4 linked regions of the Elephas maximus indicus genome follow. The protein of the gene in region 4 purifies or fractionates together with the protein of the main gene of each other region. This does not show direct contact. Links are inferred from orthologs where the notes say so. Each region holds a gene or a part of one and is shown on either strand. Other genes may lie near its edges.

Evidence for each region.
Region 1: the proteins of CDC5L (region 4) and ILF2 purify together in Homo sapiens (affinity purification with mass spectrometry; 4 studies listed by BioGRID and IntAct, with this or other methods). This does not show direct contact. The link is inferred for Elephas maximus indicus from reciprocal best matches to the Homo sapiens genes CDC5L and ILF2.
Region 2: the proteins of CDC5L (region 4) and SNW1 purify together in Homo sapiens (affinity purification with mass spectrometry; 5 studies listed by BioGRID and IntAct, with this or other methods). This does not show direct contact. The link is inferred for Elephas maximus indicus from reciprocal best matches to the Homo sapiens genes CDC5L and SNW1.
Region 3: the proteins of CDC5L (region 4) and SRSF1 purify together in Homo sapiens (affinity purification with mass spectrometry; 4 studies listed by BioGRID and IntAct, with this or other methods). This does not show direct contact. The link is inferred for Elephas maximus indicus from reciprocal best matches to the Homo sapiens genes CDC5L and SRSF1.

The regions. Positions count from the first base shown.
Region 1 is NC_064821.1:191,504,749-191,512,062, reverse strand, and holds the start of ILF2 (interleukin enhancer-binding factor 2), read left to right. Parts: upstream 1-4,297; 5' UTR 4,298-4,399; coding exon 4,400-4,404; intron 4,405-5,053; coding exon 5,054-5,113; intron 5,114-5,633; coding exon 5,634-5,676; intron 5,677-6,129; coding exon 6,130-6,234; exon of another isoform or gene 6,235-6,267; intron 6,268-6,776; coding exon 6,777-6,854; exon of another isoform or gene 6,855-7,103; intron 7,104-7,199; coding exon 7,200-7,302; intron 7,303-7,314. UniProt on the Homo sapiens protein: Chromatin-interacting protein that forms a stable heterodimer with interleukin enhancer-binding factor 3/ILF3 and plays a role in several biological processes including transcription, innate immunity or cell growth.
Region 2 is NC_064828.1:90,536,247-90,543,697, forward strand, and holds the start of SNW1 (SNW domain-containing protein 1), read right to left. Parts: upstream 3,010-7,451; 5' UTR 2,950-3,009; coding exon 2,936-2,949; intron 1-2,935. UniProt on the Homo sapiens protein: Involved in pre-mRNA splicing as component of the spliceosome. As a component of the minor spliceosome, involved in the splicing of U12-type introns in pre-mRNAs.
Region 3 is NC_064837.1:36,040,927-36,048,598, forward strand, and holds the start of SRSF1 (serine/arginine-rich splicing factor 1), read left to right. Parts: upstream 1-4,666; 5' UTR 4,667-4,803; coding exon 4,804-4,997; intron 4,998-5,380; coding exon 5,381-5,565; intron 5,566-5,890; coding exon 5,891-6,063; intron 6,064-6,265; coding exon 6,266-6,460; 3' UTR 6,461-7,672. UniProt on the Homo sapiens protein: Plays a role in preventing exon skipping, ensuring the accuracy of splicing and regulating alternative splicing.
Region 4 is NC_064819.1:108,943,898-108,950,771, reverse strand, and holds the start of CDC5L (cell division cycle 5-like protein), read right to left. Parts: upstream 3,005-6,874; 5' UTR 2,767-3,004; coding exon 2,722-2,766; intron 161-2,721; coding exon 57-160; intron 1-56.

The sequences.
Region 1 (7,314 bases), on a different chromosome or scaffold from region 4:
TCGGTCCTGCAGCCCCCATAATCAATCAACTGGAACAAATTACTCCTCAGCTCCTTTGGATGAGCCTAGTTCATCCAAGTTCCTACCCTGCTTCACTCATTCACATCACCTGCCTAGTCATGGTAGGAGTTGTTTTCAGACTGACCTAGCACGTAAGGTGTTTGCACACGGGAATGACTGAGGAGGAGAAGCTGCTGCTAAGGGCAGACCCTGAAAGCTTTTGTGTGACTGTGTTAGTTATCTAGTGCTGCTATAACAGAAATACCACAAGTGAATGTCTTTAACAAAGAGAATTTATTCTCTTACAGTCCGCTAGGCTAGAAGTCCGAATTCAGGGCGCAGCTCCAGGGGAAGATTCTCTCTGTTGGCTCTGAAGGAAGGTCCTTGTGATGCATCAATCTTCCCTTGGTCTGGGAGCACCCCAGTGCAGAAACGGCAGGTCCAAAGGACGCACTCTGCTCCTGGCGCTGCTTTCTTGGTGGTATGAGGTTCCCCTGTCTCTCTGCTTGCTTCTCTCTTTTATATTTCAAAGACATTGGCTTAAACACTATCTAATCTTGTATATCTCATCAATATAACTGCCACTAATCCATCTCATTCCATCATAGTGATAGGACTTGCAACACATAGGGAAATCACATAAAATGGTGGACAATCACACAATACTGGGACTCATGGCCCAGCCAGGCTGACAGACATTTTTGGGGGACACAACTCAATCCATGACAGTGATAGACTAAGGATTGCTTAATGTCTGTATCCTGTAAGGGGGGCTCCAGAGGCAGTGGAGGTAGATAGGAGATGTTTCAAAAGTAGAATCAATTAGATTTTTGGGAAGGGAAGACAGTTTACAAATAACTGAGGCTGGGTGGGGATGAAAACAATTTTAGTCTGTTGAGTTTGAGAAGACTGTGGATACCCAAATGGAGGTGTCTCATTAGCTACTAGGTTAGTGGAGCTGGAGTCAGAAGAAATGACTGGACTAGATATACAGTTTAGCCCTGAGTTGTTATGCAAATGATGCACGTATTATGTTTTTGCCAACGGAGCAACCCCCTTGCACGTTATTTTCCTAGGCAGTATGTGCGTTATATGTGTGGATACGTTATTTAGGTGTGCAGGTTATTTGCGAAAAATATGGTTATTGAGCTCCTCTTTCAATATCGCTGGACTAAATAACTGAGCTGGAGACAACTACAAGTGCTGAAAGAAATATTTTTTCAAAAATCAAAGAACTAATAAGATAGTGAGGAATTGTTGGTCTGAGAGATGAAAGGACAAGAAAACAAAGAGCTGAGCCCAGCTGTAGGGCTGTTTTTGCCCTGGGTTCATTTGCTGATCCAGAACTGGTGGCAGAAAATAGGCTGGCGGGCTGTTGTTTTTCTTAGCTGCTTTTCAGTGGATTTGACTCATGGCGATCCCATCTACAATGGAATAGGAGGTTGCCCGGTCCTACACCATCTTCACGATCCTTGGCATTCTGGAGTCCATTGTTGCAGTCACTGTGTATTCTGAGTGCCTTCCAACCTAGGGGGCTCATCTTCCAGCACTATATTGGAAACTATTCTGTTGTGATCCAGGAGATTTTTACCGGCTAATTTTCAGAAGTAGATTGCTAGGCCTTCCTTTCCAGTCTGTCTTGGCCTGGAAGCTCCACTGAAACCTGACCACCATGGGTGACCCTGCTGGTATTTGAAATACTCGTGACATAGCTTCCAGCATCACAGCAACATGCAAGTCACCACAATATGACAAAGTGACAGACAGGTGGTAAGGCTAGTGAGACAAAAATTGGAATGCAAATATCCCCAAAGGTGAGGACTCTGGTAAACTACCTTCCTGTTTTAGGTTAGGACCGACCCCGAAAGGCTGGACTCCTAGGGGAAATTTAGGAGAAGAGTTAACCTGAAGTAAATAGATTACTTTTGTGGGAATGGGACAGTGCTGTATTTCCAATAGTATGGTTCTTTGATTTGACATTAAAAGCTATATAATGATTCTTATTTCATGAAAGATGAGCTTTTATTAAAAAAAAAAAGTAAGTAGAAAATCCAGAACCAAAATATTCAAAAGCCAAAATTAAGGATCAATCGATACATTTAACAGCAGGTTAGACTTGATTGAGGATCAATTAGTGAATTGGAAGAAAGGACAGAAGAAACTACCCAGAATAAAGCATGGAAAACAAACGAACAAACAAAAAAGAAAAGGAAAACATGAAAGAGACATAGAGGATACTGTGAGAAAGGCCAACACACCTTTACTTGGAATTTCAGGAAGGAGAGAAATAATAGAGTAGAAGCAATATTTGGAGAGAGGTGGCTGAGAAGTTTAAAAATGCATGAAAGGCGTCAAGCCATGGATTCTTGAAGCTCAACAAACCTCAAACAAGGTTAAGAAAAAGAAAATCCATACCTGGACCCAGCAGAATAAAACTGTAGAAAACTAAATCAAAGAAAAAATATTTAAAAAAGAAAAAAAAAAGGATAGATTACTTTCAAAGGAGCAGCAATTAGACTGACAAGTGTTTTTTCTACAGCAAAAAATGGAAGCCATAAGACAGTAGAATAATATTGTAAAGGTGCTGCAAGAAAATAACTTTCAAGCTTGAATTCCATACCCAGAGAAAATATCCTTCAGTAACAACGGTGAAATAAAAATATATTCAGACAAACCAAAACCAAGAGAGTCAGCCACCAGTAGGGAAGCACTGAATTCTAAAGGGTATTCTTCAGGCGGAAGGAGTATTACCCCAGATGGAAGGTTGGAGATGCAGGAAGGTATAAAGAGCATTAAAATGGCACACATATGGGCTCCTCTAAATGACCATTAATTTAATAAATAAGTATTAAAGTCTTCTGAGACTTAAAATATAGAATTTAAATACTGTACATATACACACCTACACCTACCCGAGATTAATGAATGTATAGGACCCCAAGAAATCTTTTACAAAAATGTTCATAGCAGCTTTACATATATGACCTCAAATGGAAACAACCCAAAAGTGTTTGCATGTCTCAGCCTGTTTTCGGTCCTGACATCATCAACAGGAGAATGGATAAACAAATGGTGATATATTTACACAAGGGAATGCTATTCAGAAATAAAAAAGAATAAATTGTTGATCAATGCAAATCTGTGCGAGCATCTCAAAACGAGTTGAGCGAAAGAAGCCAGGCATAAAAGAGTACATACAGTATAAGTCCACTTATATGAAGTTCAAGGACCGACAAAAACTAATCCATAATAATAGAGATCAGAATAGTGATTGCCTCTAGGGGCAGGGCAAAGGGGTGTGAAGTGATTTTCGGAGGTCATGGAAATGTTCTTTGTTTTAACCTGGGTGGTGGTTACATGGGCATAATACATTACTCAACATTAAGAAGTAGAAAAAAATGTATGTAATTTTCAATTGATGGGGGAGGGAGGGACGGAATAATAAACGTTACTCTATGAATGCAAAAGAAGGCAAGAAAGGGGAGAAAAGGGATTACAGGTGAGACAACAGAGAGCACATAGTAATACGATGGATTTAAATGCAAATACAGTAAATCCGTACATGTTGTTGACGAAACCTGGTTGAAGGATGAAATATTCCAGAGAATTTGTAAAGTGAGGCGAGAACTGGAGCGAAGCTGGAGAATAGGGATGGTTCGCTACTTTTCTCCTTGCCGCTTCCCAGGGTCCCATCATCTGAGTCATCTCTCCAAGACGTGCTTCTGTTTTCTTTGTAATCCCTCACCATTCAGGGTTTTTCCTCTCTGAAATTAGCTTCTCTTGTCTCAAGTTTCTAGCTTTCTGCACTGCTGCCTGAAATAGCTAAAATCCCCATCTCACTTGCTAGTGTTAAACACAGCTTCCGAATGCCGCATTTTTGAGGCAGGAGAAATTAGAAACATGAAGCTCACATCTACTAAAGAAATTGAAATAACGCAAATTCTTCTTGCTGGGGCAATCAAAAAGCTTCCGGATAGCAGAGGATGGTTTCGATCCATCGACCTCTGGGTTATGGGCCCAGCACGCTTCCGCTGCGCCACTCTGCTACCTGGTAAGGCTGTGTCACAAAACTCATATAGAAAGTTTTCAATGTACTGGGGGGGGGGGGGGGGGGGGGTGTCTGATTTGTTGCACAGCGCCATCTAGCGTCTGTTCAAAAATTGTAGCCTTTGCTGTTAAACCTGCTCTTATTGGCTGATTCCTGACACACCATGCTTTTTTTTTAATTGGTTCTCCGGTTTGCCAGGATAAACCAATAGGCGTAAGCGATGGGGTAAGGCGGGAGCCAATCGCGCCGGGTTTTGTTGGGACACGCCGGCAAGCGGCCTCCACAGTTGTTGGCTCCTCGGGAGGGAAGAGGCGGTTTGTGTGGCCTCCATTGTTCGGGATTTAGGGCGCCATGAGGTAAGGGGGCCAGGGTGCCCTAGGAATGTTTTCAGTATTTGACTGGAATTTTGGGGAAGTCGGAGGAGCTGAAGAGGCCGCATATCGGAGGGCTAGCCTACGACCTGATAACTCCTGTCCTGGAAGACGGGGAGGGGTCGGAGGCCGGTCGGGTCGGGAAACTGGGGCCTGGGAATGGGGTGGGTCCTGGAAGTGGGGAGGCGGGTTTGACACCTTCGTCCTTTAGGGGCTTAGGTAACGGGGGTGTGCTCAGGTCCCGGGAGGAGTACCCCCCATTGAGACTGAGCAGGCTGGAACGTGTCGCATTCATCCTCAATGCCAAGTGCTTGATAGAGTATATGCGCCTATGTTATTGATAGTCCCAGAAGTATTAGGATTGGCGTGTCCTAGGGATTATGGTGTGTTTCTCGTAGGGCCTCGGTATCTGGGCCCCGTCATTACCTGGCGTATGGGTTGTGATTATCCAGAATGAGGAGGTCCTAGGGGAGGGGCTGGGGGAGAAGTGTAAATGATTGGGATGGGGGTCGCTTGACTTCCCAAGGGAGGTTTAGAGCGATGGAGGCAGGCTAGCTTGAAATGATGTGGCTGGTAGAGTGGAGATGCTTTCATTGAAGTCAAGAGAAAATAAAATCCTCTTATGCATTTCTAGGGGTGACAGAGGCCGTGGTCGGGGTGGGCGCTTTGGCTCCAGAGGTGGTCCAGGAGGAGGGTGAGTGCCAGTTTTTAACATCTTTGCACTGGTTGGTTCCTGTTTGAAACACCTAAATAAGAGTAAATGGTCCGCTTTTGTGAGGTCCATCTATGGTTTAGCAATACATGCTGTCCTGTTAAATGATGAGTTTGACCCCACTTTCCTAACAAGGATACCCCCCAGCAGACTCTCACTGATTCGGAGGACAGACATGTTTTCAAAATTCCTCATACATTATAACCACGATATATGATCATATTTACCAGTTGTCAGTGGTTGGGTGAAAGGTTGGGGTGCAGTATGCAATTATAATTTTGAGTGATCATTTTTTTCTCTCAAAGTTTTATATGTTTAGGAGGCTCAGTGACCTCTGGAATGCTAAAAGATGTACGTACCTCTTGATTTCAGCATGTAAGAGGTGCTAGAAAACCAAATTTTTGGAAGGAAACATAAAAACATTGTTTTGGCTTGTGCCAGAAATCTCATTTGATTTGATTTCTATGTTGTGAATAATTTAGACTATTTTTTTTTGTTTTAGGTTCAGGCCCTTTGTGCCTCATATCCCATTTGATTTCTATTTGGTGAGTACTACTTTGGGTTAATATGAGTTTCTTGGCCACAGTTTATCTGTAGATGTAGAGATGGAGCCCAACATCTCCCTGTAATGAAGTCAAATGGTGGGTAGAGTAGGAAAAGGGGTCTGTGAATGGGTATGGGGTTTTGTAGATTGCTTCACATAAACTGTCAGCAGGGTGAAGAGAGAATTCTTTGGCTACTGTTGTCAGTAATATGATTATAATCTTTATTTTGGATAATTAATTGTATTCCTGGCTTATCTGTTAATAATAAGGTAGTTTAAGCTTAAATTATGGCTGTTGCTTACAGATTGTATCCGTGTATTAACATCTTCAGGAATAAAACCAAGTGCCGAATTTTCTATTTTCATTTTTTCTGTTGTAGCAGCAGAAATAAGTCTTTCCTGTATATCATTTTTGGTAAATAGAACATGTAATAGTTGTTTATTTCTGGTTCAGTGTGAAATGGCCTTCCCCCGGGTCAAGCCAGCACCTGATGAAACATCCTTCAGTGAGGCCTTGCTGAAGAGGAATCAGGACCTTGCTCCCAATTCTGCTGAACAGGTATGTTCTCTTGGCTTCCCTTCTGAGATTTCCCTGAGAAGGTTAGAAAAGTAGATATGGGTGAGTTTAAAAATAATTTTATCAAAGCCTAAACCCTGCAGAAGGTTTAATTATTCTCATTTCTCATATGAGTGGAAACAGCCAGGTGAATACATGAACAGATTATATATGCAGTCAGATTTTTATTGGGGGAATCTATGGGATCAAAATTTGTTCTGGCATATTGAAGGCCAGCAGGGTCAAATTGTTTTTAAAGCCCTTATGTTGGTACTGGAACCCTGGTGGTGAAGTGGTTAAGAGCTTGGTTACTAACCAAAAGGTTGGCAGTTCAAATCCACCAGATGCTCCTTGGAAATTCTATGGGGCAGGTCTGCCTTGTCCTATAGGGTCGCTATGAGTTGGAATCACTTCATCAGCAATGGGATTTTTTTTAATGTTCGTACCGACTCAGCTTGTATAGAAGGGATTAGAGAAAAATACTCAAACCTTGAGAAACTGTAATTTTTCACTTTAGGTTATTTTTGTTTCATGCTGTTTTTCAGGCTTCTATCCTTTCTCTGGTGACAAAAATAAACAATGTGATTGACAATTTGATCGTGGCCCCAGGGACATTTGAAGTGGTGAGTTTTTGTTGATTTAGTTCTAGGAAAGGGCGGGCTTAGTACCATGGATGTTTCCTTGGCTCCTGTCTGAATTCTTCAGTTGCCTTTTATCCAAATCCCAGCCTAAAGTGGAAGAGTACAGTGGCATTCCTTTGTAGTACTGATCTTGGAAATGAGACACATACCATCGTTATCAGTTATCCATGATTTAGCAGGCTCTCATGTGGTTGTTTTGGGGATATGATTTGATCTCTGCTGCATCCAGATCTGGGTAATAAAGAAGCTTGTTGTAATAGAGCTCCAAAAAGAACAAGGCAGACTTTTTTCTTCTAAATTTTTCTTCCGCAATCCCTTTTCCAACAGCAAATTGAAGAAGTCCGACAGGTAGGATCATATAAAAAGGGAACAATGACCACAGGACACAATGTGGCTGACCTGGTGGTAATCCTAAAGATTCTGCCAACATGTGAGTGCATCT
Region 2 (7,451 bases), on a different chromosome or scaffold from region 4:
CTTTATCTGTCTTTATTTTACTTAAATTGCACTATTGATTTGTTTACTCATATACAGTCTGAGTCCCTTACTAGAATGTAAGGCCTGTAAGAATGAGTTTACTTGATTCAATACTATAAAACCAACATTAGAATGGTGCCTAGCACATGGTAGAACTTCAAGAAATATTTACTAAGTATATGAATGAATAAATAAACAAATGGAGTCAAAAGTCTTAGGCTTCTTCCAAAGTCATTTTCAGTAAACCATATGTAAGTAATATACAATGATAAAGAGCTACAAAGACACCAAAATTATGTACTTCTGTTTCATTTCTTTTCACTTTTCTTTACCTTCTCTTGGAAGAAGCATTCACAGAAATGATCAAAAGGCAGGCAGCCTGCCAGAGAAGCAAAGGGCTTTGGCAATCCAGTAAACAGGTAACAGAGCCTGAATTATGGTCAGAATATACTCTAGCCTTCCAGAGGGTCTTCACTTTGTTCTTCCCTGAAAAGGAAGGCCTTTGCATAAAGTCGAACACTCCCATGGGGAGATGAGAGGCTGGTCTTCAGATGAAAAAACAAAACAAAACAAAAAACCCAAACCCACTGCCTAGGAGTCAATTCCGACTCACAGTAACCCCACGGGACAGAGCAGAACTCCTCCATCTGGTTTCCAAAGAGCCGCTTGTGGATTTAACTGCTGACCTTTTAGCAGTCAAATGCTTAACCACTGCACCACCACGGCTCTAAAGAACCTTCAGATAGCATAGATAAAATAGACTGCTAATTATATGTACAGCAGTAAGTCTACCAGATCTCAACTAGTGGCAATTTTGCCCCCCTGGGGTATCTGGCAATGTCTAGAGACATTTTTGATTGTCAAGATTTAGTGAGAGGGGGTGCCACTGATATCTGGTACATAGGGGCCAAGGATGCTGCTAGACATCCCACCATGCACAGGGGTCCCAAACAACAATGAATTATTCAGACCCAAATGCCAATAGTGCCACTATTGAGAAATCCAAGTTTACCCTTTTCCCTTTACTAAAGAAAGTATATTAAATGCAAGTAATGTTAATATACCCATAACTTCGAATACACTCAAATATAGAAAATTAAATCAGTTAGACTTTAAACCTTTAGTATTAGTAACATATCACTGGTGACATCAAGACTGACACATCAGTATGTCAAGACCTTGCTGTTAACATTCCCTGGTAGATCTTGGAGTTAATATAAATTAACACCTCACCTATAAACTTGAGACTATCTGTAAAAATCAAGTTAGCTAGGACTAATTCAACAAAAAGGAGCCCTAGTGGCGCAGTGGTTAAGCACTGGGCTGCTAAACAAAAAGTGGGCGGTTTGAACCCACCAGTGGCTCCCTAGGAGAAAAAACCTGGTGATCTGCTCCCATAAAGACTACAGCCTGGGAAATCCTACTGGACAGTTCTATGTCACATGGGGTCACTATAAGTTGGAATAGACTCAATAGCAGGCAACAACAATTCAACAAAATCAGAAAGCCATGTAGTCCCCAAGACCAGCCATTTAAACATTACATTGTGTCAACAAGCACACAATACCCATGACATCTCTGGTATTTTTCCTGTGCATCCATTTCCAATTCCACCTTTTCCCCAAACAAATCTTTCCCTCATAGCTCTACTAGCCTCTATCACAGTGCCTTGCACCTAGAAGGCACTTAACTGCCTGTAACATTTACTAAAGAAAACTCTCCAGTCCATAAAGCTCATTCCATCTAACTCTTTTCACTCTTATGGTTTGTGTTGCTCTTCAATCGTTCATATTTGTATGCATTGCTCCCCATTGTCTCTGAAGTCAGACAGTCAGATTTCCTTCTGCATACACCACAACTCCTAGGATGAGTCAGGGCACCCCATTTAAAAAACAACAACAAAAAAAAACAAAACCAACCAAACCAAACCCACTGCGCTCAAGTCGATTCCGACTCATAGCGACCCTATAGCAGTTCCCAAAAGAATCTTCTGAATAAAACATGTTTCGGATTCATAATTGTCATCTGCCAGGAAAAATATCTGAGGAGAATAAGGTGTGTTAAGAGAGCTCAAGTCGATATCCTAAAAGGATTACTTCTAAGGACCAAAAATTCTAAGAAATTCTAAGGTCCAAAATTACAATCCTCTTTGACACTCGACTTTCCTGTTGAATTCGCATGGCAAAGTTTTTCTACTTAAATGGGGCAGCATGGTCGCGCACTAGTAAGGGTTATGTAACTTCTTGGGATCTCCCACTTAGAGCATCTTTTTCTCAAAGGCGGGGACCCTTTACATATGGTTACCAAGGCAACCGCGAACAGCAAAAAATCGGAAGCGGTTCTATCTAGGGAAGAAATTCTAAGGTCCAAAGTTAAAGCCGGGCGCAGCGGCGCATATTAGTAAACAGCGGCCACTGCTGAGGCTAGTTCAAAATCTTTATCCACTTCCAGGCCTCTTTCTTAGGAGACCTTGTTTCGGGAAACGGAATGGACAGAAAGCCCTCGGCAGCAAGCGGACAGAAGTCCGCGTAGTCGCTTCCCGCCGGCTTCGCTCCGCCGAGACAAGCAAGCAACTGCCCACACTCCCCTCTCTTCTACCCAAGCCGCCGACTTGAGGTAGCGGTCTCCACGTCCCCCGCGATGCTGAAGCGAAACACACGTGCGACTCCTCGCATCTGGGCCGGAGAACTATTGGCCACTCCACGGCTCCGGCCTCGGGGAGGGGGCGACCCCAACCCGAGCAGACGCTCGGGAAAACCCACCCTCAGGCGAGGCCTAGTCGCCGCGGCGGCTGGCGGGAGGGCCTAGCCACGGCCTTGGTCTAAGTCGCTCTCTTCCCAAAGCCGGGTCCCCGCCCGGAGAGCGTGGACAGAGAAATGAAAAAGATGGGTCGTCTCAGACCCTTCCGTATCGAGGGCTCGAATCAACAACCCACCTGGTGAGCGCCATCTTCTTCCGCTTCTTCCAGCCCGAGCGACAGCAGCGCGGGGCGGACCTTCCCTGGCGAAGGGGCGGGGAAGGAAGGAGCGCGCAGTGCGCAGCCGCACCTGCCGAAAGGCCTTCTGGGCTTAGTAGTTATTTGATAGGGAGTACAGTTCGGGTCTCTATTTCGGGTCTCTTCTAACCAGCCTAAGCGGTCCTCCTTAGATGATCTCATTAGGAAGAGTAAAGACTTATCTGTACTCTATGATATCATAGGGCGTTCGCTAAGCGAAGTAACAAAGTTAGAGAAAGCTACCTTTTTAGCCACTTTTTCCCCCACTCAGTCCCATCACCGTCGTGTAACACGTTGCCATGGAATTGACTCTGACTCGCAGCGACCTATAGGACAGAGCAGATCTGCCCCATGGGGTTTCCTAGGCTGGGAAGGAGCCCTGGTGGCGCAGTGGTTAAGCTCTCGGCTGCTAATTGGAAGATGGGCGCTTGGCTGCTAACCGAAAGTTCGGCAGTTCGAACCCGCCAGCCGCTCAGAGGGAGAAAGATGTGGCAGTTGGCTTCTGTAAAGATTAGAGCTTTGGAAACCCTATGGAGCAGTTCTACTCTGTCCTATAGGGCCGCTGTCAGTCGGAATGGACTGAAAGGCAATGGGTGTGGTTTGGGAATCTATACAGAAGCAGATAGCCACATCTTTCTGCAGAGGAGCAGCTGGTGGCTTCCAACCTCTGACTTTTTGGTTAGTAGCCCAGCGCTTAACCACCGCTCCGCCAGGACTCCTGTTCCCCTAGATTAAAAAGAAAAAGAAAAGCCCGTTGCCATGCAGTCTATTCAGACTCATAGCGATGCTATACGACAGAGTAGAACTGCCCCTTAAAGTTTCCAAGGAGCGCCTGGTGGATTCAAACTGCCAACCTTTATAGTTAGCAGCCATAGCACTTAACCACTACACCACCAGGGTCCTCCCCTACTGTCCCAAATACAAAAACCTTCAGGTGATAACCACGTTAAATAAAAGGTAACAGGGTTTGAAACAATAGGATAGTCAGAGATTAGCGAATGGAGAGTTCTCGGACGTTCTGAAAACATTGACGTTCAAAACTTTTTCCTTTAAATGCTATCCCCTTCACAAAACCCTCTCCTGGGAAAGGCATTTTGTGATCTTCAGTAAATTACCTTTTGAAAACTCCTGATATACGTAGTATATATGTAGGTATGTTTTTTAGGTACACATAGTTTATGGATTCATAGTGAAATAATAGTATAAACGAAATCTGCTTCAAAATATTGGGAGGAGGAAAGAGTGTGGAGCATAGATGAAACAAGATTAGCCATGAATTTTGATCATTGTTGAAGCTGAGTGATGGGAAAGTGGATGTTTGTGATATTATTCTCTCTACTTTTATATACGTTTGAAATTTTCTGCACGCATACAGAAAAGTGCATACATTGTATGTGTACAGGCCTTTAGATTTTCCCAAACCACAGCAGTGTGAACAGCCCAAGAAGCTTCCCTCATCCTTTACACTCACCCTTCCTCCCAAGAATCCTCATAGTCTTTGATCTTCACGTTCTAGTGTGATAAGAGCATCTTGTACATTTTCTGCCCCAGATCTGGAGTTGGTTCTCTGTCATTTGCAATTGAAGGGAATTTACTAATGTGTTTTCTCTGTGCTCTGATAGTACTTGTGTTTCACCTATTTTTAACAAAGATCACATTCTATAGATTTTGATGGTTTACCTGACTGAGAGGAAGATTAAATCTCTCTTTGTCACCATTGTATCTCTATCATTGAGCCTGAGCAGTCTTGGGCAAGCCTTCACCCCTCACTGGATTTTGGTTTCCTCAGCTGTAAAAGGATAAACCAAACCAAAAAACCAAACCAAAACACCAAACCGGTTGCCATTGAGTCGATTCCAGTGCAAAAGATAGGGTGGGCTCAAATAATACCAGAGATCCTTCTGGTGTCAATATGATTCTAGATACTTTATTTCCTTAGTTTTTAAAACTTCTAAAGAGGTTTAAAATTTTCCCATTCCATGAACTATTGATACATTCAACAACTCGGATGAATTTCAAAGGCATCACTTTCACTGAGTGAAAAAAGCCAGTCTCAAAAGGTTTCTTATTGTACGATTCCATTTATGACATTTTGTGTTGGGGGGGAAGGAATTAGGAATTTTTAGGACTTATTTTTTTTTTATTTAAAATTTTTATTTATTTTGTTGTTGAGAATATACACAGCAAAACATACACCAATTCAAGTTTCTACATGTACCATTTAGTGACTTCGATTACATTGAGTTGTGCAACCATTATCACTCTCCATTTCCAAGTTGTCCCTCCCTTATTAACATAAATTCACTATCCCCTAAGATTCCCATCTAATCTTTCAAGTTGCTGTTGTCAATTTGATCCCTTGTAGATAGTTCTTAAAAGAGCATAAGGCTCAAGGCAGACATTTTTTAGATTTATGTCATTTTTGAAATGACAAAACTAGTGACAGAGAACAAATCCGTGGTTGCAAGGAATTAAGAGTAGGCGGTAGGCGTGATTATTACAAGGGAGTTTTTTTTTTTTTTTTTAGTTGACAGAACGGTTCTGTATCCTGATTGTGGTGGAGGTTACGGAACCTGTAAAACCAAAAAAACCAAACCCATTGCCATTGAGTTGATTCTGACTCATGGCAATACCATGTATTACAGCAGAGCAGAACTGCTCCGTAGGGTTTTCTTGGCTGTAATTTTTATGGAAGGAGATCACCACGCCTTTCTTCTATGGTACCACTGAGTGGATTTGAACTACCAACCTTTAGGTTAGTAGTCAAGCACAAACTGTCGTCATGGATTGAACTGTGTCCCCTCAAAATATGTGTCAAATTGTCTAGGCTGTCATTCCCCATATTGTGGTGTTGTCTTCTGTTTTGTGATCTGATGTAATTGTCCTATGTGTTGTAAACTCTAATCTCTGCCTGTGGTTAATGAGGTGAGATTAGGTTAAGTTACAGAGGATTAGGGTAGGATGTAATACCCTTACTCAGGTCACAGCCCTGATGTAAGGGGAGTTTCCCTGGGGGTGTGGCCCACATCACCTTTTATCTTAGAAAAGATAAAAGGAGAGAGCAGCAAGCAGAGAGAAAGAGAGACCCCAGGCCACCAAGAAAAAGGCACCAGGGCAGAGCATGTCCTTTGGACCCAGGGTCCCTGTGCTGAGAAACTCCTAGGCCAGGGAACAATTAATGACAAGGACCGTCCCCCAGAGACCACATACAGAGAAAGCCTTTTCCAGAAGCTGGGCCCTGAATCTGGTCTTCTTGCCTCCTAGGCTGTGAGAGAATAAATTTCTCTTTATTAAAGCCATCCATTTGTGGTATGTCTGTTACAGCAGCACTAGATAACTAAGACATCTACCCAGGGCTTCCTATGAATCTATACATGAGTTGAAATTCATAGAACTGTATGCCAAAAAAAATGAGTTTTACTATATGATAATTAAAAAAATAAAAATTTAACAATGCCTGGTCTAGCTCTTACTATCCTGCTGTTAGAAAAGTCTCCTTAGCCTCATTCAGCATCAGCAGCATTTTCTCTTTGGCACTGTTTCATGGCACTCTTTGGGTTCCTAGAGCCATAGGAAAGGTTACAGAAGATCAGTATTTTTAAGAAGAGTAGAGGGACAAATGACATACTAGTTTTCTATGCTACGTAACAAATTAACACAAACTTAGCGGTTTAAAACAACATCCATTTATTAGCTCACAGTTCTGTAGATTAGACGGCTTGCACATGGTGACTGGGTTCTCTGATCAGGGTATTACAAGGCTGAAATCAAGACGTCGGCCAGACTGAGTTCTTGTCCGACGTTCTAGAGAAGATCCATCTCCAAGCTCCTTCTTGTTGATTGCATAACTCAGTTCCTTGCAGTTGTAGGTTGGAGGTCCTTGCTTCCTTGTTGGCTGTCAGTGGGGGTGCACTGCCATAGCTTGCTTTTGTGTGGCCTTTCTAGCCATGGTCTTGTAACTCCCACCCAAGTGATTGGGTGAGACTGTGTGGTAGGGTGGGATTGGTGGAAACGAAGGGGATTGGTGGAAACCCTGGTGGCGTAGTGGTTAAGAGCTATGGCTGCTAACCAAAAAGGATGGTAGTTCGAATCTACCAGGCTGGCCTTGGAAACCCCTGGGGCAGTTCTACTCTGTAGTATAGGGTCACTATGAATAGGAATTGACTCCACAGCAAAGGTTTTTTGTTTTTAAAGGGAATTTGTCAGGCTAGCCATCCCACTTGGCTTGAAATGAGCCACCCCAGAGATGGTAAAGAGAAGATCCTACCACCACTAAGGAAGAACAGCCAGGAGCCAAGAGCTCATCTTTTGGACCTGGAATTCCTGCTCTGAGAAGCTCCTGGAACCAGAAGACCGAGAGAGAGCAAGCTGTGACCTTGAAGATGGTGCAAAGTGGTGGCAGGAGACTGCAGTGGGCTTCCAGGCCCACAGAGAGAGAAAGCTAAGTGCCTCTGGA
Region 3 (7,672 bases), on a different chromosome or scaffold from region 4:
GAACTAAAACTAGTAAAAAACATAATAAATTAACTGATTGTGAGAAAGTAATCCATAAGACTGCCTGTGATCAGTAATTGAAGAGTTTAGAAATGTCTCAAATCCAATTAACAGAAGGATGTACTCTCACGAGGCAAAACTGAAGAGGTTGTAATTTGGTCAGCAGAATCCTTTTCAATTGTCTAGTACAGTATTTAGAGAACGCTTGTGTGAAGTTAGCCTATAAAAATAAAATTGCCAATCTTTACCCAGCACTGTCCAGGGAACAGAGATACAAAATTCAGGGGAAATGGATTTCCTCGTCTTTGAAGAGGTATACTTACTCTGTTGTGGGTGGAGCCCTGGTGGTACAGTGGTTAAAGCGCTCAACTGCTAATGAAAGCATTGTCGGTTTGAACGTATCAGCCAACCCTCAGGAGAAACACGTGGCGGTCTGCTTCTGTAAAGACTTAGAGCCTTGGAAACCCTATGGGGCAGTTCTACTCTGTCCCGTAGGGTTGCTATGAGTTGGAATGGACTCGATGGTAAAGGGTTTTTTTAAATCTGTAGTGGGGCAGGGATCATTTATTAGGTCTCATCATCCATGAATGATTTAGGATGACTCATCTCACTTTGTTCTGGTTCCTCATTTACTAAAGCAACTGTCCGATTTGCCTTCCAGACATGCCAAACCAGTTGTACATTGTTGGCACGTACAATATCAGCATCCGGGTCATGAAAAATAAATATGCCTTACCCCCCAACAAATGAATAAATACCAAAAAACCAAACACGTTGCCATCGAGTTGATTCCAACTCATAGCAACCCTACAGGGCAAAGTAGAACTTTCCCACAGGGTTTGGGTTTCCAAGGCTATAATCTTTACAAAAGCAGACTGCCACAACTTTCTCCCTCGGAGCAGCTAGTGGGATCAAACTGCCAACTTTTCAGTTAGCAGCCTAGTGCTTAACCACTGGGCCACCAGAGTTCCTAAATGAATAAATAGTTTGGTTTATTTGCATTATTGTATGTTGACGCTTGTAGACTGAAATATCTTAATCAACTCCAGGACATGATAACATTAAGATCACCTCCTTAATTGCAGCAATCATCAAGTTAATGTTATCCTAAGAGACCTCTTCCTACCATGCCCTAAGCCCATCACCTACAATTTGGTTAAATTAAAATATAAAAAAGAGGCTAATAGATAAACAACAATACTCTATTCACATCTATTAAGCTTTATCTTGTATTCCTCTGAACCAAACAAAATCAGAAATAATTTCATTAAATTGGACAAACGAGAATAAACCAAAACAAATGCACGGTTTTCTAATTTTTTCGGCATGAAAATGTCTTGAAATTAAAAGCACCCGTACCTATTTACTCTGTATGCTGAGCAAATAATCTGAGAAGCTGAACTATATGAAGAAGAATGGGACATCAGGATCGGAGGAGGACTCATTAACAACCTGCGTTGTGCAGACGATACAACCTTGCTTGCTGAAAGTGAAGAGGACTTGAAGCACTTACTGATGAAGATCAAAGACCACAGCTTTCAGTATGGATTACACCTCAACATAAAACAAAAATCACAACTGGATCAATAAACCACATCATGATAAACGGAGAAAAGACTGAAGTTGTCAAGGCTTTCATTTTACTTGCATCCACAATCAACACCCATGGAAGCAGTAGTCATGAAATCAAAAGATGCGTTGCAGTGGGTAAATCTGCTGCAAAGGACCTCTTTAAAGTGCTGAAATCAAAATTGTCACCTTGAAAATTAAGGTGCGCCTGACCCAAGCCATGGTATTTTCAATCACATCATATGCATGTGAAAGCTGGACAATGAATGAGGAAGACTGACAATTGACACCTTTGAATTATGCTGTTGGCAAAGAATATTGAATATACCATGGACTGCCAAAAGAAGGAACAAATCTGTCTTGGAAGAAGTACAACCAGAACGTTCCTTAGAAGCAAGGATGGTGAGACCGCGTCTTACATACTTTGGACATGTTGTCAGGAAGGATTAATCCCCGGAGGACATCACGCTTGGTCAAGTAGAGAGTCAGCGAAAAAGAGGAGGGCCCTCAACAAGATGGATTGACAGTGGCTGCAACAATGGGCTCAAGCATAACAAGGGTTGTAAGGATGGCGCAGGACCGGGCAGTGTTTCATTCTGTGATACAAACGGTCGCTATGAGTCAGATCCAACTCGATGGGATGGTACCTAACAACAACAACATGAGGGTTCATTCCCTGGAGGATATCATGCTTGGTAAAGTACAGGGTCAATGAAAAAGAGGAAGACCCTCAATGAGATGGACTGACACGGTGGCTACAACAATGGGCTCAAACATAACAACAACTGTGAGGATGGCACAGGACCATGCAGTGTTTTGTTCTGTTGTACACAGGGTTGCTATGAGTTGGAAATGACTCAACAGCACCTAACAACAACATGTTTAAATCACTTCAATTACCACTGATTTAGCACGAATCAAGACAGGCCTGAGTAATTGTACACCAATAGATAAAAATTGGAACAGAAAGAAAAGTGTGCTTAGCAAATAACTGTTAAAAGAACTAATGAGTACATGATAATGCCAAAGAATTTTTTAAAACCCTCTTCTGCTATTAACTGAATGGAAGAGTGCTAGAAACTGAATACATCTGTTGAAATGCTATCTTTTTTAATCAGCCTCTTCTATTAAAAAAAAAAATCAGATTCTTTTTTATTAAAACCTCAGTTTCAAAAAATATTGTTGAAGGACAGCCTGAAGGATAGACAATCTATCCTTTCCTCTAAAATTTTCAGAGGTTCCTTCCCTTTTTTATATCTACAGACCCCTTTAAGAATGTGATTAAAATTTCAAATCCTCTTACTTTTTTTTTTTTTTCCCCCTGAAAAAAGTACATGCACAGCACAAAGAGTCCAAGGACTACTACAGGTCCTCCATGCATCTGCTGAGGATCTACAGACCCAAAGTAAGCATTCCTGCTCACAATATTTCAAACTAAATTTATATTTTCAGATCACTAAGAGCTACGGCTGCTAACCAAAAGGACAGCAGTTCAAGTTCACCAGGCGCTCCCTGGAAACTCTATGAGGTAGTTCTATTCTGTCCTATAGGGTCGCTATGAGTCAGAATGGACTGGATGGCAACAGGTTTGGTTTTTGGTTTAGATAGACATTTGAACTAAGAAAACATGCCCTTCTCCTGTACAATTAATCTATTTTTATATCAAGGCACTTTGGGTTTTGAAAATACTTGTCTACCCTTCTTTACTGCGGCCTCTAGGAAGACCAGAGTGAAATCTGCAGTCTATCTGCAGGCTCTTACTGCAGACATTTTGTGTACTAACCTTATCCGGGACTTCAACTTAATCCCCTAACCCCTTATTTTCCCATTCCCCTGATTTCTTCATCCAGTTTTAATGTTTTATGGTATCCCTGTAAGCTGCCTTGCATCCTTGGGGAGAAGGGCTGTTGTAAATAAATACATAATATGAAGAAAATCATCCTTAAACTTAAGAGTGCAGATCTCTTTTAGCATATTTATCACTGCAGGGCTTTTTATATTTGAACTTATTTCCAACATTTTAAATAAGCCCAACATCTCACATAAAAATTCAGATTTCAGGCGTCTCTAGAAAAATGTAAAAAATTATCTCCCTGAACCAACACTCGAGGAGGATCACAGTCCCAACAACTGTGGTCTCCAATGGGAATGAGTTTAAAATCTTGCATATAATTAATAGGGGAAACTTTTGAAAACAAGATTAACTTCAGGATTTTACAAATACTACTTCTTTCTAGTTCTTTGAAAGGAGGAAAAATGACAAGCACAATCCATTTTTGAAGTATTCATGAGCCTCGCCTCTCCTCTCCGCTAGGCCTAGCAATAGGCCATCAATGAGAGGCGGTGCGGTCGGTGGTTGACACCCTTCCTGGTTGGCAAGTGCCGCCCCTGACTGATCAGGGTACGACCTACACATACCGCCGGTAACAGTTGGCGTGCTGAATCGAGCTATTCAAAGTTAAGTTCTGAGCCGAAGATGGAACGGTACTTAATGCAGAATACTTACTAAGGAACCTGAAATGCACTCCCCTAAATCAGACAGGTGTCTAAACAGCCCATGGCTTATTTGCAAGCAGCGGGGTGGGAAGGCAAGGCTACGCCCTGGCGCTCTATTAACTCCCCAGCGTCGCAATTCCTGGACTAGGCGCACTCTTGCCCGTTTCCGGAGCAACTGGCCGATCCCTCCCCCTTTGACTCCGCCCCCGGGAGTCTTTCCCGCCAAAGGCCGTTAACTTCGCGGAGCATTATGGGACAAGGCTCTAGGCTAGGTTTCACCAAATTCTAGCAAGGCGCCGAAATGCTCCAAAAGAGGCTCATTCCTGGAGACCCTGACTATCCTCGACGACCTGACAGGCATCAATAGCCCCTTTAACGAGTGCTCTGTATTTAATTTTTATCACACAACTTATCACCCCGTTGGCAAACTGCTCCGCAGCTGGGGAGCGCGGGGAACTTTTTTCTCTTCGTGCGGAAGGTCACGTCGCGGGTGCGTATGCGTCCTTTCAAATGCGTCCGTTACGCACTTGCGCGTGCGTATTGAGATCGAATAGCTGCTTCCATCCGCTTCTCTTCCTCCCTCCCCCCCATATCCGTGCGCCGAGCAGATAAAGGCGCCATTTTGGAGGGGCCGCGGGAGACGTGGTGTCGCTGCGGGCTCGCTCTGTCGTGCGCTAAGCTTGGTGGGAAGGCCTGTTCTCGAGTCCGCGCTTTTCGTCGCCGCTTTTCGTCGCCGCCATGTCGGGAGGTGGTGTGATTCGTGGCCCAGCAGGGAACAACGATTGCCGCATCTACGTGGGTAACTTACCTCCAGACATCCGAACCAAGGACATTGAGGACGTGTTCTACAAATACGGCGCTATCCGCGACATCGACCTCAAGAATCGTCGCGGGGGACCGCCCTTCGCCTTCGTTGAGTTCGAGGACCCGCGGTGAGGCGGCATGGGGCTTGCAGTCTTTACGAAATAGGTTGGAATAGTTAGGGGAGGCTCTTTTGAGAGGAGAAAGGCGCTATTGCCCATGCAGGAGTTGAGTAAGGGGTCGAGTCGGCGTAGTTTCTCCGGTGGCTGGGCCCCGTGGATATCTGCGGAGCCGACTCGCAGGCTTGGAGCGGGAAACTGAGGCGCCGGGGGCTGTTGTAGTTGTCGGGAGCCTGGCGTGCTTCTGGGTGGGGGAGGGGCCGTTCCTATTATGTAGCGCATGTGGGCTCTTTGGCCTTCGGTGCGCATGTGCGGGGGGCCGCTACGTCCCGACTGAGTTAGGCTTCCCCTTCCTATTCCTTCTCTCATGCCTTTTGCCTCCTGTGATCACGCAGAGACGCGGAAGATGCGGTGTACGGTCGCGATGGCTATGATTACGACGGTTACCGTCTGCGGGTGGAGTTTCCTCGAAGCGGCCGTGGCACTGGCCGCGGCGGCGGCGGGGGTGGAGGCGGTGGAGCTCCCCGAGGCCGCTATGGCCCACCGTCCAGGCGGTCTGAGAACAGAGTGGTTGTCTCTGGTAAGCTTACTGCTTTTGTGGGTTCATGAAAAAAGGGGCAAGAGCTGCTTTAAAGTTTTCCATGCATGACTGGTTTGACAACTGAAAATTTCATATCAGATCCTTTATTAGTTTTTTGGGTGAGTTTAGTAAGCGTGTATAACTACTAGAAATTCAGCAAAATAGATTGCAGCACTAGAGTAGGAAGATGCGTATTCTTTGCAAATCAGTTCGGATTCTGGATTCTAGAGTCTTTCAAGTACGTTCACTAAGTATTTGTTCTGGTGTACGCTATAAATTTAACGTGAAATTTGGGATAGTATTGAAAAAATAAATCACTTTTCAGGACTGCCTCCAAGTGGAAGCTGGCAAGATTTGAAGGATCACATGCGTGAAGCAGGTGATGTATGTTATGCTGATGTTTACCGAGATGGCACTGGTGTCGTGGAGTTTGTACGGAAAGAAGATATGACCTATGCTGTTCGAAAACTGGATAACACTAAGTTTAGATCCCATGAGGTAGGTTATACACTTAATTCTTTTCTTTGGCCAGAATTGGATACAGTGGTCTTAAACAGTGGAATTTGAAGGTAAGGATTCAGGCAAGGGTGTCCAAGTAAAGTACCAGATTTCTGGTATTAGTTACATTGTATTCATTCAGCATGCCTGAAGACAGGTGAAAACTTAGATGTTTCAATCGAAAGTTCTGTCTATCCAATAGGGAGAAACTGCCTACATCCGGGTTAAAGTTGATGGGCCCAGAAGTCCAAGTTACGGAAGATCTCGATCTCGAAGCCGTAGTCGTAGCAGGAGCCGTAGCAGAAGCAACAGCAGGAGTCGCAGTTATTCCCCAAGGAGAAGCAGAGGATCACCACGCTATTCTCCCCGTCATAGCAGATCTCGCTCTCGTACATAAGATGATTGGTGACACTTTTTGTAGAACCTATGTTGTATACAGTTTTCCTTTACTCAGTACAATCTTTTCATTTTTTAATTCAAAATGTTTTGTTCAGAATGGGCTGAAAAGTGTTGAATTGCATTCTTGTGTAATATCCCCTTGCTCCTAACATCTACATTCCCCTCATGTCTTTGGTAAATTGTATTTTAAGTGATGTCATAGACAGGATTGTTTAAATTTAGTTAACTTTCCATGCTCTTCAGACTGTGATATTGTGTAAATGTCTATTCTGCTCTGGTTTGTGTGAACTGGGATGTTGGGGGTGTTTGTGGTTACCTTACCTGGGGAAGTTCTTATGTTTATCTTGCCTTTTCATGTGTCTTTCTGTAGACATATCTGAAGAGATGGATTAAGAATGCTTTGGATTAAGGATTGTGGAGCACATTTCAATCATTTTAGGATTGTCAAAAGGAGGATTGAGGAGGATCAGATCAATAATGGAGGCAATGGTATGACTCCAAGTGCTATTGTCACAGATGAAATTGGCAGTATTGACCTTATACTAAAAGACAAGGATTAAAAATGATTATATACATCAACCTTAAAACAGTTGCAAACATTTTATGCAGTTACCTTTAGCTACAATTGCTTTGCTCTTTATATTTGGCAATTGTGGCAAAATTACATTGCCCATTTTGTAACAAATTTATTTTGCTCCTTTCCCCCTTTTTTTGTTTTAATAGGGACTAATGTGGGAAGAACTGGCTAATTTGTCATAGTGCTTAGTTACAACTGTTAATGTGTGACCTGCTGTTGGTGTACATGTGGGTACAGGGTGTCTTTAATTCCAACCAGATAGAGTATAATATCAATACTGCTAAATTTGCATGTCCTCTGTGTGACTGATATAGCGTTGCTATTTCATTTTTTTTTTTTTTTTAAGACAAAATGAAAGCAAAATATAGAATTCCAGCATATTGGTGTAGATAATCTAGATGGGAATACTTTGTCTCACCTTTCCCTTTAAACTAATATTCATAATTGATTCGTGTTAAAACACTTTAATTTACAAATTGCAGACGAGAGCATTATTTAGTTTAGACTTAGGTGGGTTTAGCAATACCAGTAAACTTTTCAACTACATAACTCTTTTTGCAACCACAAAACCTGTAATACGCTGTACAGTAACAAGTGTTGGCATTATCAGTTGAACTGTAAATATAAATAGCT
Region 4 (6,874 bases):
TTTTCCCTCATCATAATTAAGGTCGTTTTGTTTTCTATTCATTAACTGGTACATACCATCTGGCTTTGCACTGTTTTGCTGATTTTCTATGCAGCAGCGAGGCAATTCTAGACCACTGGTTTTTCCCATATTTCATTACTGCTGCTTTCAGAATTTCATCCTAAAAGAATTGTCAAAGAAATATAATACATTCAATCACTAAAGTCCAAATGAGAAAAGACAAAATTTAAATTAACTGTCAGGGCTGCTGAAAAATTTCAAGGAAAAGGATACATACATGCACACCTACAAATCCTAGGTTTAAAAAAAAGAGGTCCTAACATCTTATTTACTATAATGATAAACAGCAAGCCAGAATCTGCAAAATCCAAGAAATTAAGAAGGTCATCAGAAGAACATCCCACCTTCCCTCACATGCACATTCTCCCATCCCCATAAACTGGGAGTGGGAACAGTCCAATCCAAAAAACCATACTTGGTAGGTTAAAAGTATCTTCCAATGTGTAACCATTATTCTCTTCAAAAGGGTATAGCTCATTCATGTATTCGTTAGCTCAAAAAACATTTCCTGAACACTTAACCTTGTACTAGGTCCTATATACATGGGGAAAAAGAATTAAATAGACCTCCCAGCGCTCAAGAAGCAAATCAAGACTCGAGTGAATCCATTCTTCAGTCCAGGCCTCCTGACTCCTGCTAATCCATGACATTTACTCTCCAGTCCTTAACTCTCACCATGACTCAAGAATCCATGTCCCAGATCTAACCTAAGAAGTACATATTTCTCCCCTACCCCACCAGTAAGCTCTCTCTCCAACCTCCCCCAGTCTCTTAGATACTATTTCCACAGGGTCCCTATGCTGAGCCACCTGGCAAGCTGAGCCAGAGAATCCAGGGACAATGCAGTCATGAATGAATGCATTTGGGTCATTTTACTTTTAGGACTTTTTCCACATTCAACCTGAGCTACATGCCTTCTGCTTGAGCCACCGCACTGTGCCCCCTCTTCATCATCAGACATAAAAAAGACTGCAGGGCTTTGAGCACTGTATAGGAAGCCTGTTGTTACTTGATTTTGTACGTATGTCTCTCCTCCAGAAGTCATCTCTTCTCCACTTTAAATAGCCTGGTTCCCTCAGTGCAAGCTGTCAGGCAGGCTTTTCACTGACTTCATTTGGAACTTTGTTACAGTACTGCTGTACTTAAACACATCTTCAACTAACTATATATATAGCAGTTATGTACCACACAAGGGGTTGCCATGCCTCTGAATCAACTCCACGGCAACCGCTTTTACCCCCCTAGTTTCGCTCACCAAACATTTGCCAAGCTACCTACTTCATGTTGGTTATTGGCCTAGATCCAAGGAACACTAAGACCTAGTCCTTGTCCTCTTGCAGTGCTATCTGCCAGACTCTGTTCTAAATTTTCCAAATGTATTAACTTATTTAATCCTAAAGAGCTAGGTACTGTTGTTTGGTTTATCAAGTGGATTTTGAATTCATAGTAACCCCATAAGGTCGCTATGAGTCAGATTCGACTCGACAGCACTGGGTTTTGGGGTTTTTAGTGACCCCATGTGACAGAGCTGAACTGCACCATAGGGTTTTCTAGGCTATAATCTTTACAGGAGCAGATCACTAGGTGTTTCTCCTGAGGAGCCACTTGGTGGGTTCAAACCGCCGTTGAGCCCGAGCCCACTGCACCACCAGAGCTCCGTATATATTATTATCACTCCTATTTAAAGAAATGAGGAGAGTGGGACTCAGAGGTTAAGAAACTCTCCCAGCAGCACAAAGAAATGACATGATCCTTAAAAAACGACAAAGCAAGCTAACAAATTAATTAAAGAAGTACAGTGAGACCACTGAGGATGCAATTAATTCTGGTAAGTGGGCAAAGACTACAACAAGTTTCTGGGTTGAGGTCTGAATGCTCAAGGTGCCAAGCAGTAGGAGGACATTTGAAGCAGAGGGTACAGAATGTAAAATGTGCTCCGAAAAGAGATAAACTCAGAGCGCTCTGAATACAAATTGCACTAAAGTATTATTTCTGTTTCACTCCTCTACTGTCCTTTGGCTCGCCAATGGCATAATCCACTACAGTTCTGGAAGCAGAAACTGCTACACACAGTCTGTCCTATCTATTATCCAGGCTGAGTCGGAGTGCCAGGAAGATAGGACGAGATGGATCTTGGCATCTGTCGGGAGAAGAGGCAGGTTATGCCTTGATAACAGATAACCAGAAGGATACGGGTATAAACGGGATCCTTGAACCTGCCACTCAAGCTGCTTCCTCTCTGCCAGGGAGTCAATAAAGAAACAAAGTTGTGGCCACAACACTTCTTTATTTTCCTCTTTTTGAGCACTGGAGAGAGGCGCGGGTGCCCAGGCCGAGAAGGAGGTGCTCCGAAAAACCAACTCTCGCCGATGCCCCATTCTCCCCCTCCACACTGAGTTCCACCAGAGCGGGGAGCAGCCTCCAAATTCAGCAAATGTTCAGTGAGGACCTAACAAGTGCCTGGCAGTGAACTCGGGCTGGGTATTCAGTCGGGTTAATCACGGTCCCTGTCCTTCAGGAGCTCAAAAAGCAAGCGCTGGGGCACCCAGAGAAGACGCAGACCGCGCAGGGCATCTTCCTGACCGCCCCGACGCCCGCGCGCGTGCGCAAAAGCCGCCGGAGGGGGCGGAGGGCAGCGGACGGCGGGAAAAGGAGACTCACCTCAGTATTCCTCCACACGCCCCCCTTGATCATAATTCGAGGCATCTTGGTGGCGGGCTGTCTCGGCAAACGGCCGAGGTGAGCTTCAGAGAAGTACTAACGGCGCTGGGGCCACGGGACCTAAAGCCGCCACTTCCTCCAACCGCGACCTTCTGCTTTGAGGCGATCTGCGCAGTCGCAACCTGGGGGTGGGGAGGACAGGAATAGAAAGTCTCGCGAGATCTCGAGTGGCTGCAAGGAAAGCAGTGCATTGTTGAAACTCTAGCCTGGGGAAATCGTCAAACCTCTCTAGCCAAAGCGCTCTACGCCGCACGCGAGTTCAGGACCTGTTGGCGGAAACTGCGACTCTCGCGAGATAGTAGCGGTGTGGCGTTTGGCAGGAAACATAAGTGGTGAGGTTGGTTGTGACGTCACCGAGTGGCAGGAGATGGGGATGTCACGCGTGAAGAATTCAGCCCAGGTGGTCAGAAAAGAGCTTTGTTATTTTGTTAGTTTAGCGCTTTATCGGGCGTTTAATTAACAGGAATTTATTCAGAGAAGGCTCAGGCAATAGGCTATTTGTCTGTTTCCTAATCTATAAAATAGAGGTAATAATGGTACCAACCTCGTAGGGTTGTCCTAAGGTCTAAATGAGATCGTGTACATAAACCTAGCACAATATCTGGTGCATAAAAAAGAAACAAACCACAAACCATTGCTGTCAAGATGATGCCAACTCATGGAACCCCATATGTTATAGAGTGGAACTGCTCTGCAGGGTTTTCTAGGCTTTATGGCAGCAGATCGCCCGGCTGGGTGTGCAAAACACCAACCTTTAGGTTAGTAAAGAAAAAAAAAAAGCATTGCGGTGGAGTGGGTTCGGACTCAGTGAATAGTGGAACTGCTGTCTTTTTGAGGGGGGGGGGCGGTGTTTAGCAGCTGTAGCTCTTAACCACCAGACCGCCAGGGCTACAAACCATTTGTATCACCCAGGGACCTGTGATACATGTTCTTCTTAGGTGCCTTTGAGTCAGTTCTGACTCATAGCAACCCTGTGTACAACAGAAGGAAACACTGCCCAGTCCTGTGTCATCCTCACAATCGTCGCTGTTTGAGTCCATTGTTGCAGCCTTTGTGTCGATCCGTATGTAGGAGGTCTCCCTCTTTTTCAGTGTCTCTGTATTTTACCAAGCATGATTCCCTACTCCATGGACTGGTCCTTCCTGATAATATGTGCACTCATTAGCCAACCAGTGGGGTTTCCTTGGTCCTGAAGGAGATTGGCTACTGAAATGCTGAGAGTTGTTAGTCTGACCGTGTCACAGCCTCACTGTATATGGTTGGCTTATTTCTCACCTCTTTCTCCAGATGTTTGCCTCTTGCCTGACTAATGGGAGTCTCTCACCCTCCTTAGCTGTGCAGACAGATGATACTGAAGCTATACGACAATAGTATTAATACTTGATATAGAGCCAGCCTTCATGTTTTCCTGACTTGTACCAAGTGGGTATTAAACACCAAAAGGATATCAATAAAATGAGAATAGCTTTACCAAAAATAATGAAATCTCACATAAAATCTACATTTTACCATTGATTCGAGGGCATCCTTAGAAAACTGAATATTATTTAAAAAAAAAAAAAAACCCATTGCCTTCAAGTTGACTCCAACTCCTAGCCACCGGCTAGGAGAGAGTAGAACTGTCCCATGGGGTTTCCAAGGGGTGGCTGGTGGATTCCAACTGCCAACCTTTTGGTTACCAGCCAAGCTCTTAACCACTATGCCACCAGGGCTCCTGAATATTATAGGAGCCCAGATATTTTTTTGGTAATTGAATGCTTTCTAGAAACTCTGTATGAATTTTTATACAAGCACTGTTTTCTAAATCAGGTAAAATGTCATTAAGAATATAAAAAAATAAAATAAAAAGCTACATTTCTCAACCTTAAAGTTAAGTGTAATCAGTTAGATAGAAGGGAGAGCTTCTTAAAGGAATTGACAGATAGCTGGTGCTCACCCTTTTCTTTCTCCCTTTGCTTCTTCTGTATGCCTGAAGTGTATATGTAATGGTGAGAACACTAGGAGCTATTTTGGATTATGAGGTGACCTTGAGGATGGAAGCTAAGTGCTAAGATGAGGGAGCAAAAAGATGGAAAGAGATGGGTTCTGATAATCAACTGTGTAGCTGTCCCACCAGTCCTGAACTACTACCCTGTGGATTTCTGTTATCGGGGTTGTGTTACGGATTGAATTATGTTCCCCTAAAATGTGTTGTAAATCCTAACCTCTATGCCTGTGGGTATAATCCCATTTGGGAATGGGTTGTCTTTCTTACGTTAATGAGGCAGGATTTGTGTAGGGTGTATTTTGAGTCAGTCTCTTTTGAGATATGAGGGAGATTAAACAAGGGAACACAGGAGAAATGAAGATAGATGCCAAGACACATGGAGACCTCCAGGAACCAGGAAGCAGAAGCCAAAGAGACAAGGATCTTCCAGAACTGAGAGAGAGAGAAAGCCTTCCCTTAGAGCCAGCGTTCTGAATTTGGAACTTGCCTCCTAAACTGTGATAAAATTAATTTTTTTGTTAACACCACCCACTTGTGCTATTTCTGTTATAGCAGCACTAGATAACTAAGACAGGTGAGGAATCTCTGTCTTATTTGAACCATTTACATGAGTTTTCTGTTACTTGCAGCCAAACTGTTAGTAACTGATACACCCCTACGTTCACTAATTAATGCCTACTTATCTCTCAAATCTCAAATTGTCACTTTCAGGAAGAAACCTTCCCTGAGTAGGTCATATTCACCTTTCATTCTCATAACCTAGTATTTCTTCAAGTGCTTATTCAGAGCACTTACCACAACTGTAATTATTTGTCTAATTAATTGGTTAATATCTGTTTCCCACTGGAATTATCTACCACTCATTAGAGTTATACCTATATTGTTTACAAAAGCTAATAAAGTGCCTGGCACATATTAGGGCCTCAGTCGATACCTTATGTCTTCTACCCATCTACCAATTCACATATGGTACTGAACACATACTGAACCAAACCAAACCTGTTGCTGTCGAGTCGATTCTTAACTCATAGTGGCCCTCTGAGGGTTTCCCAGGAGCAGCTGGTGGATTCGAACTGCAGACCTTTCGGTTAGCAGGCAAGCTAGGGCTTCTGAACGCATACTAGGTACTAATAAACATCATGGTGATTGACAAATTGATTAACCAAAGAAAGCTTCATCCTCATCCAGCGTAAGCTTGGCCTGGATTCCTGTCACCATGATACCCTTAGCCTATCACTTCACTGCTTTCTCGTCCAGATGGTCTGTCTCCTCTGGGCTAAACTTTTGACCTGGTACCTATGTTTATAACCAGTAACGATGCTAAAAAAAAAAAAATTTAAATAAGAACAGTAGCCTCTGGGTGTGTTGGAAGCACCAACGTTTCAGCTACAAGCACTGAACTGTTTGCACCACACAGAGACTCCTTAACAATGCTTTACAGATGTGTTTTACTCTGACTTGGATGTGTGTGTTCTTCACTCCTTCTTAATGATTTTTCTGACTTTTAAAACCAGAAGGGGAACAAATATCTACCCATGCTCTCTGACTAGCAATTCTAGAACAAATAAGAAAACAACGTGATGCACTGAGGACAGTCATCATGTCTGTGATATTCCCGCTGAAAATGGATGACCTGGACCTAATCATGAGGAAACATCAGAGAGACAAACCCAAAGAAATTACCTGAATGCTTCAAAAATGTTAATTTCATGGAAAACAAAGAAAAGCTGAGGAACCGTTCCAGATTAAAGGAGACTAAAGACATGACAACTGGATGCAATACCATGATGGCTAGATTAAATACTGGATCAGTAAAAAAAAAAAAAAAAAACTGCCATATGGAAATGACTAGGACAATTGATAAAATTTGAATGAGCACTATGTATTAGATAATAGGATTGTATCAATATTAACCCGTTGCCATCAAGTCAATTCTGAACCACAGGGACTCTATGGGACAGGGTTGAACTGCCCCATAGGGTTTCCAAGGAGCAGCTGGTGGATTCAAACTGATGACCTTTGGTTAGCAACCAAGCTTTTAACCACTGTGCCATGTTAAATTCCCTGAACTTGGCGTTCGTATTACGGTTATGTTAGAGAATGTTC